Linked DNA regions of Arabidopsis thaliana. The protein of the gene in region 1 interacts with the protein of each later gene in a pairwise test. Each region holds a gene or a part of one and is shown on either strand. Other genes may lie near its edges.

The links. Proteins that work in one complex are often made in the same cells at the same time.
Region 2: the proteins of RABH1c (region 1) and AT4G00350 interact in a protein complementation assay, tested with the Arabidopsis thaliana proteins (one large-scale study listed by BioGRID).

Annotation. Positions count from the first base shown.
Region 1 is NC_003075.7:18,503,987-18,508,238, reverse strand, and holds RABH1c (RAB GTPase homolog H1C), read right to left. Parts: upstream 2,321-4,252; 5' UTR 2,128-2,320; coding exon 2,011-2,127; intron 1,662-2,010; coding exon 1,591-1,661; intron 1,506-1,590; coding exon 1,417-1,505; intron 1,337-1,416; coding exon 1,222-1,336; intron 1,129-1,221; coding exon 1,038-1,128; intron 942-1,037; coding exon 780-941; 3' UTR 536-779; downstream 1-535. Other genes in the region: AT4G39880 (Ribosomal protein L23/L15e family protein), read right to left, coding at 3,102-3,638; AT4G39870 (TLD-domain containing nucleolar protein), read right to left, coding at 3,964-4,050, 4,167-4,251. UniProt on the Arabidopsis thaliana protein: Protein transport. Regulator of membrane traffic from the Golgi apparatus towards the endoplasmic reticulum (ER).
Region 2 is NC_003075.7:149,844-154,678, reverse strand, and holds AT4G00350 (MATE efflux family protein), read right to left. Parts: upstream 2,767-4,835; 5' UTR 2,702-2,766; coding exon 2,273-2,701; intron 2,189-2,272; coding exon 1,563-2,188; intron 1,486-1,562; coding exon 1,429-1,485; intron 1,360-1,428; coding exon 1,002-1,359; intron 931-1,001; coding exon 844-930; intron 763-843; coding exon 691-762; 3' UTR 501-690; downstream 1-500. Other genes in the region: AT4G00342 (uncharacterized protein), read left to right, coding at 2,767-2,946; RLK4 (receptor-like protein kinase 4), read right to left, coding at 3,183-3,543, 3,626-4,835.

The sequences.
Region 1 (4,252 bases):
TCATTGAGTTGATAACACTAACGAATGTTTGAAGGCTCAATAAAAAAGTAAAACAAGAGAAGAACAAATAAAGGATAACGTTTTTCGTTTTCCAAGAAGAGAAGAAACAACAAAACCTTCCCGCCGATAATCGTAGTGGCCAAAACAAACGCCAATGGAAGCCTTGTTAAGGAAGACAAGGTTTACGGAGTGAAATGGTTTGAAGGAAGTGTTTATTACTCTCCCAGTGATGGTAAATGGGGAAGAACGAATAGGCCACATCTTTTGAGTTATTGTGTAGTTGAGGAATTGTTGTTATACGGTACCGATATGAGCTTCCGGTGAGTGTTTTGGCAAGAGTCTGAGGAATCAGAATGGAAGATAGTTAAAGGTTTGGAGGCTCTAAGAATATCAGTCAAGTGAACAGTTTTGGTGTGAACATTGTTCTCTTCTGGCTTGAGCGTAATGATGATGATGAGAGATTGGATGTTTGGTGTGCCGAGATTTCGTTCGAAAGGTGAGATTTGGGGTACAATTGAGTGGAAGGAAGCTGTCACCACAGTTGATCCTTCTCCCTTTGGTTCATTTGGTGGTGATCAGAATAAGGTTTTGTATTCTGCTACCGTCAATGTCTAAAACAGATCAAATACAGAACAAGGCAAAAGATTCACATGTGTAAAAATAGTAATCCTTTTCTCTTTGATGTTTTATATTCTGTGTCAGTTAATAAGATGAAAACCACAAAACTAACGTGATCCCTTTTGTTTGCTTCACAAGTTTTGGAATTATGTATTTTTGAATCAACAAGAACAGCCTCCACCACCACCTGCTCCTCCTTGTTGCTCACCTTGTGATGAATTTGAAGTGGTCTTTAGATTCACATCAACCATGTCATCTGATTTTGTTGCCAATGAATATGAGTCTACCCCGGGTAAAGCTGCAGCAATCTTCCGGAACAAAGCCTGCAAATTGAAGAGATTTGGTGTGTTTAGAAATCAGACAACAAGAAACACTCAAATGAACATCACTCCATACTCTTTGTTGAAGTTTTGTCATACCTTAATGTTGAAGTTTTCTTTGGCACTGGTCTCAATGAACATCACTCCATACTCTTTACCCTTGTCTTCTCCTTCACTGATTGATACTTGCCTGTTTTTCATTATATCAAGATTGACATATATAAGACAAGAGAGAATTATATAGTCCATCCCATCCAATTCTTTGCTTAATGTTTGTATTTACCGTTTTTCAACAAGATCAGTTTTGTTTCCAACAAGAACGATGATAACATTGCTTTGACCTCTTTCTCTGTGAACATCCTCAATCCATTTCGAGGTATTCAGAAACGTTTGCCTATCTGCAACACAAAGTATTGATTGAACACATAAGAACACAAAAAAGAAGGTGAATCAAAGAGAGAAACAAAGGTGGACTTACTGGATACATCGTATACAACAATGGCAACAGAAGAATCTCTGATGTAACTTGGGATTAGACTCCTGAATCTTTCTTGTCCAGCAGTATCCCTTTCAATCAAAACTTGTTTTGTTATTGCTTTTGAAATTAACATGTTAGTTTTTAGGTAAAGAGCAAAAGTAACATTGTTCTCACCATAGCTGCAAACGAACTGTTCGATCTTCGAGGTACATTGTTTTCGATAGAAAATCGATTCCAATGGTAGGCTGCAGAGAGTCAGAGAGAACACAAATAAAGGCTTAATGACTAACTAAGAAAGCAAAGAAGCAACAGTGCTTAGCATCATCGATCTTGATCATAATAAGAAGAAGAGATTGATAAATCAACCAAAAAAACAGAGAGCAGAGTGATCAAACAAATGCATTGAAGAAAAACCAGAGTGATATCAGCGACGTAATCTAGGACCAATATGAGATGAAATCGTCTGAACAATCGTAATATAGGAAATAATGAATCAGATCAAACAATAAAAAAACGAAAACAAAAGAAACTTGTTGTCGCAGAGAAGAATTTAAATGAATAAACAAAACAAGTGAAAGGAATCTGTGTAAATACCTGGTACGTGGTGTCGAATTTGTCATACATGAAACGAGTGATGATGCTGGTTTTTCCGACAGATTGGTCTCCTAAGAACACCAGTTTAAACTTTGCCAAAGGTGAAACCGAAGCCATATGTTCCGTTCCGTTGGAAGAAGAAGGAAAAAAAGAAAAAGTGTGATTCAAAGATCAGAAGAATCAGAGTCTCGTCTTTCTTAGGTCTCGACGATGAAGAAGAAGGAGAGCACGACGACGATGACTCGGTCGCACACAAACTTGACAACCTTCACAAAATCGCCACGCGCCCAAATATATTCAACGATTTCCGCGGAGACTTTATATAAGAAGCGCGTCGATGCGGTTGGGTGTATCTGTGTTTAAAAAAAATAATATTTTTTAATGATGAATGTTTTCTAAAATTTCTATGATCAAAGTCTTCTTCATTAATCTTTTAAATCGTTATTTGATTAATTAAAACCTAAACCAAAAAAAGACCTTTAAGCCAAACAAATTTTTGTTAGTTTGTGAAGATACTAGGTGAGTAGTAGCCTAGTTGTAATCTGTAATGAATACCAAAATCTGAACTAACAATTATTTTAACAATTATTTAGTAAACACCAAGCTACTAGTCCACAAAGTGATGAGATTTTTGGGATGATCAGAGATGACTATATTTATTGGCTAATGTAGTGATTTGTCACAATTTTATCATACGTTTTGCATCTGCGTAATGTGATCGAACATTTGAACATAAGCCCCAAATCCACAAACAATAAGACTAATAAGAGGTTTCTCAAAACTTGAACAGACAAACAAAGCACCATCACCAGAGTTAATCCCCTTAAGCATTCTTATAGATTGCAATTAAGAAAAAAAGCTTTAGAACTCGGGAGCAGCAAATATCATATAGCTAATCAGAGATCACTAAGAGAAAGATTACAAACAATTGGAAACATCTTGATTCAGATTTATTAGCCAAATCTCAGAAACACTGAGAGCTTCAATGATTCAGATTCTCAATACACAAACCTCAAGTAATAGAAACAACAAAATCAATAATCCGATAGCTAAAGAAACACAAACCCCAGATCATAATCTGCTCATAAACCCTACTTACCAACAAATCTCATGTTGCTCCATGGAAACTTGGCCGTCCCCGCCGCCGCAGCACCACCTCTCGTCGGAGAGTTAGCCCTTTCACCACCTCGACGACCTTTACCTTTACCATAACCACCAATCTCCCTCTTCTCCTTACGATCAAGCCAATGACTCTTCTTATCATCTTCTTCCTCAACAAAGCTAGATCCTTTCACTTTACTCTTCCTATCTTCCTCGATATACTTCACCGGAAACAAATCCCTAGAAATCGACAATGGACTACGTAGCGTGACGTAAGCCTTCTTGTAATCAGCTTTCGCTATCAACAAACCACCACGCTTCTTCTTCTTCCCATCCATGTTTAAAGTATTCACCTTCTCCACATCGAATCCGTAGAGCGACTCCAGGACTCGCTTGATCTCGATCTTGGACGCGGAAGGAATCGTTTTCAACGCGAATTCGTGAATGTTGGTCAGCTTCGCAGGCATCAGAAGCTTAATCGGAAGATTCGCGAAATGAACCACTCGTCCTCCCAATCTACTCCCCATTTTCAAATCGGAGCTGAGCTTTTAGGTCAGAAATGAAAAGCAGTAGCAAGGGTTTTTCTTCTTTGATTCTTCCCCACTAAAATTAATCCCTCTTCACACACACATATGCTTTAATGGGCCTTAATGGGCCGAATGAGCCTAATAGGTGGTTTTATTTTGTTATTTCAAAATCATCATTACAAGTGAGAGAGAGTAACATATATGTGATTTTAGCCAAGTTACAAGACAACAAGATTTCTTTTACTACAGATTTATACAACAACAACAACAACAACAACAAAAAGACGAATCTCAGTTGAATTCATTTGGGTTTTCTTTATAATGATCATGACCATCTGCAAAGACCAGGCTCCATTGTTTTGCTGTGAGCTAGAATCTCATCATACTTTGAGCCATACACAAATCCCCATAGCTGCAACAATCAATCAACCAATGGTGTGTTTGTTTGCTTGTTTCAGTTAAAAGGTGTTGCAAAATATTGAAATATAAAGCTTTTATTTTTCAAGGAGAGGGATGAAATTTAACTACCTCCACTTCCTTAACATCAAAGTCCTGAGAGTCTGCGAGACAAGAGTTCCCATACGTCTCTGAGTAAGCGCTCGATCCGCTTAGCC
Region 2 (4,835 bases), about 18 Mb from region 1:
GGGTAATGGGTAGACCGGTTTCATTTACTGGACATTCGGGTAAGCGAGTCGGATTCGGATAAAATCCAATCGGATACAGATTTTTCGGGTTAGAAGTTTAGGATCCAATAGGGTAAATCTAAAATGTCGGTTCAATTTCGGTTCGGGTCCAATCGAGTTTGGATATAGATTTTTAGACCCTTTTTTGGAATCGATATCCGAATTTTTGGGTAAATATCCAGATTTTTTGGGTAAATATCCAGATTTTCGGGTAAAATTTTGAGTTTCAGGTAAAATTTAGATTTTTGAATAAAATATTTGAGTATTTTCGGATTCGGGTTCGTTTTTTTCGGTAGAAGAATTTAAGACCTAATAGGATAAATCTTCGGGTTCGAGTTTGATTTCGGATCCAATTTTTTGGGTTGATTTCGATTCGGATAACCGATTCTGGATTTTTGTCCGGCCTAATTTATTCCTGACAATCGGCCGTAGTAGGTAAAAATAATGAAATGATTGAATAAGGTCGAATTAGTAGATTTAAATCATCATTTTGATAAGATTAAAAATTTACAAATGTATGATAAATTATATTTTGATGACATATACAATTTGGTATTACAAAAAAAATTGATATATACAATGAAAAATATATTGCTGTATAACATAAGATATAAAGTGAAGTGTATATATAATTTTTTTTCCCAAAATCATTTAAGTTGCTATTTTTTCTAATTTCTCATATCCAGCTCCCCATTGTTTCATTCTCTCCGAAGCTTGTTCCACCTAATAAATTAAGATAGTGAATCATTTTACTTCAATTTGTGTGAAAGATTTGATTATAAAACCTGAAATGAGTGGGGGTACCTCTTTGTTCCAATTGGTTATGTAGATCATGTACAAAAGTATGAGAGTCTGAAGACTAGTCCCACATATCATACCAATCCATATCCCCTGAAAAACCACATAAAGCAATTTCATCAACTTAAACCAAAATAATTAGACCGGAGGCTATGTGGCTTTACCTGTACGCCAAGGCTTGTTTTATAACCTAACAAAAACCCTAGAGGTAATCCAAAAGCGTAGTAACAAAACAAGTTTATATAAGCCACCGGTGCTTGCCATCCTCCTCCTACTGCAACTCCTGATATAACTGGTTGTAAACTGTTGAGAATCATCGTTATACCGAGCAGGTACGCAAGATCAGCTACCGCCTTTCTCATCTCTTCACTCTCCGTAAAAATCACAGCAAAGTCATCTCGTGTTATCAGAATTACAATTGCACACACTACTCCAATGACGAGAGACTCTATCACCGTTACGATCACGGAGTATTTCGCAGCTCGTGGATGTCCCGATCCTAGCTCATTCGACACCCTAACACTGAAAGAAACATATATATAAGTCTAACGCCTTCTTTTAGAAGACACAAAGATTGCTTTTGCTTTTTACCTTATAGCTGCATTGATTCCTATGAACAACATTCCTTCCCATCCATTAATGTTCATACTGAGAGAAAGAAAAGTGTTATCAGATATAGAAGAAAATGTAAATCTTTGAGTTTGTGAAGAGGTCTAACGGTTAACCAGATTGAGAGAGATCCAACGGCTATGACAGGGTCTTCAAGATGTCCAGTTAAGACAATGATCGTCATGAAGTACCAAATCTCTAGACAAAGCATAACCGCAGACGCAAACGACAGTTTCAAAAACGGCCAAACGTCTTGAAACGCTAACCAAGACAGCCCTTTCCAACCGTCTTTACACCACCCTACAACATAAACAACCTGCGCGATCGCGATTCCCCAAGCCGAGACATCAAATGCAGCCGCTGCACCGTTTAGCCCCCACTTGAAAACGTTTATAAAGAGGTAGAGGATGAAAATGTGAAGGGTCAAAGCGAAGAAACCGATCCATGCCATGATCCCTACTTTGCTCTGTGACTGGAGAAACTTCTGAGTCGGGAAGTTGATAGCGAGCGCAAACATTTGAGGGATGATTTGTGTAGTGAATTTGCCAGAGATCTCTGCGATTTCGGGTTCTTGGCCGAGTAAAATGAGAAGTGGAGTTGCGTAGATGTAGAGAGGAAGCAAGCAGACGGAAGTTCCGAGGAGGATAAGCCAAGAACGCTGCATATAAACACCTAACATATCCATTTGTCCCGCTCCAAACGCTTGTCCACATAACGTTTCCAACGCACTCGCCATTCCCAGCTGCAGTTTTTTTCTAGAAAGTTAGAGAAAACGCAAGAAACAGAGGAGGAAAAAAGCAGAGTAGAGGAAGGTTATTTTAATCACCAAGAAACCAAAGGAGAAATTAGAGACGACGGAGAGAGCGATGGCGACGGCAGAAAGCTCAAGATCGCCGATATGGCCAACGAAGATGCTTGTGAAGGAGTTAACACCGTAATTACAAAGAATGTTGAAAGCTATAGGTGCAGCTATTTCCCAAAGCTTAGACGTTTCAACCACACAAACAAGTTTAGCATCTCTAAAGCTTTGAATGGGAGGAAAATCAGCGTCTCCGGTGGTTTCACCGAGCAGAGTTGACGGCGCGTGGATAAGCTTGGTCGTCTCATGCTCTGTTTCGAAGACAGAGACTTTGACGACAAGCGGAGAGGATGGACCGCTATCGATGGCGTCGTCAGCTGCTAAGGAGATGGTTTGTTGTAATGGTCCGGCAGAGGATGAGGAGGATCTTCTCTCCTCTCGAACCGGGATCTCCATTTTCACCGGTTGTGGCAATATTTGTCTAAGTTTTTATATTTCTCTACTTGGGGAGGATTAGAGACATGAGGATTGAAAGCAGACAAGACAAGAGATTCTTTTTTATGTTTGTTCTTGTAATTTGTGTTTCTGGTTTGCCTAAGATTAAGGTTAGCCGTGGAGTAGAAGAAGAGAGAACATGGGTTTATTGTGACCGTTCATATAGTTTAAAGTATCGACATGGGTTTATTGATTCAATCACGTAATGATTCTCATACAATACATTCTGTAAGAATTTACATATATGCCATTAGAAGATTATCAAAGTGACAAGAACTTTCAAACTAAGAAGAAAGACATAATCCATGGTTTTAACTGTTAATGTCGATTAAGTCAAATATCATACAACCAACAAATACAGTTTAAACTAATTAAACCCTCTTAGAGAGCAACACTTAAAACATTTAAGGCTGGTTTTGACCAAATCACCTTACAAAATTGATCAAGGAGAAGGTCTACCAAAAGACGACCGTGAGCCAGGGCTAGACAAACCTGTATTGAGATCCGAACAGCCATGGCCTTCACTACAGCTTGTGCCGCTCACTCCTCGGTATGAATCGCCGGAGACAAGAGCTTGTATTAATTTAGGCGGTGGAGGAACCGTCACCTCCACAACTCCTTCAAGCATCTTCACTACCGTTCCCATTGCTGGCCTTATCTCTTCATTGTCTTGTATGCACCATATCGCCACCGTTGCCATCCTCGTCACCTCTTCAGTGTTATATTCTCCGTTGAGTCTAGAGTCAACCACAGAGTCCACATTGCCTTGTATGATCTCACGCGCTGCCCATGGCGGAAAGAACCTGAAAAGGGATTCATTGATTCAATGTATATGTTTTTTTCTCTCTTACAATTGATTCCAAGTAAAAGACATTCTCTAAATACCATTTCTCTGGTTCTGTCTCTTTCTCTCCCAGTGTATCGCTATTAACAATGACATTTCTTCTACCACCGATCAGCTCGAGCAATGTCATTCCAAAGCTATACACATCAGCTTTTGTCGTGATGGGCAAACCAGATATCCATTCGGGAGCCACGTAGCCCCATGTCCCTCTCATCGTGGCTAGAACTCTGCTGAAGTCACGTCCAAGGAGCTTAGCCAAGCCAAAATCAGACACTTTGGCGTTGTAATCACTGTCCAAAAGAATGTTCTCCGGTTTGATATCACAGTGTATAATACAGTCCCTGCATCCTTCATGCAAGTACGCGATCCCTTTGGCAGTACCTAACGCGATCCTGAAACGGGTCTCCCAGCTTAGCAATTTGGGGCTTGTTCTAGACAGATAGGAACTCAAGGATCCTTGTGGCATGTAATCATAGACAAGAAGCCTATGAAGATTCTCTGAACAGAAACCTCTAAGCCTAACGAGATTGACATGTTGAATGTTCCCAATGGTGCATACCTCTGCCCGGAACTCACTCTCCCCGCTTCCAGGTCTTTCTAAGCGTTTCACAGCCACGAATGTAGAAGAACCCGGTAATGTTCCCTTAAACACCGCCCCAAAACCGCCGTGTCCGACCTTATCCGAGAACCCATTGGTAGCTGATTGAAGCTCCTTGAAAGAAAATACCTTAAGATTCAACACAGCAAACCCATCTTCGTCTTGTTTCCTAGTCTTCTTCCTCTTTCGACTCCTCTTCAACAGAATCAATGGCACTAACAATGTAAACCCAAGAACTGAGATTGACCCAACAACGCTGCACAATATAATTATAGACTTAGAGATGTTTCCCTTTGAATTCCCTTTCTTTGGTTCTCTGATATACAATACATCTTCACTAACTCCAGTCCACGAGCTCGAATTCTTCAGATTATTCGGCGACTCGAGTAAAATTTTGCAGAGATTAGACTTCTCCTTATGATAAAAACCAACACAAGAAGAGTTTCCTAAGCAAGTTTTGGCGCAAGAGCTCTTGCTTACCTGCAACCGTGACATCTTCACATCACCATCGTAGCGTAGATCACCAACGGCTTCAAAAGTATCACTCTTTTCGCCGGAATCACCGTTTTCACGGCGGCATCCGTCGCTGTAATCATCAGATCTCCACGCGGCGTCGTTCCTAGGCCGGAAACCGCGGATGCAAGCACAGGGCT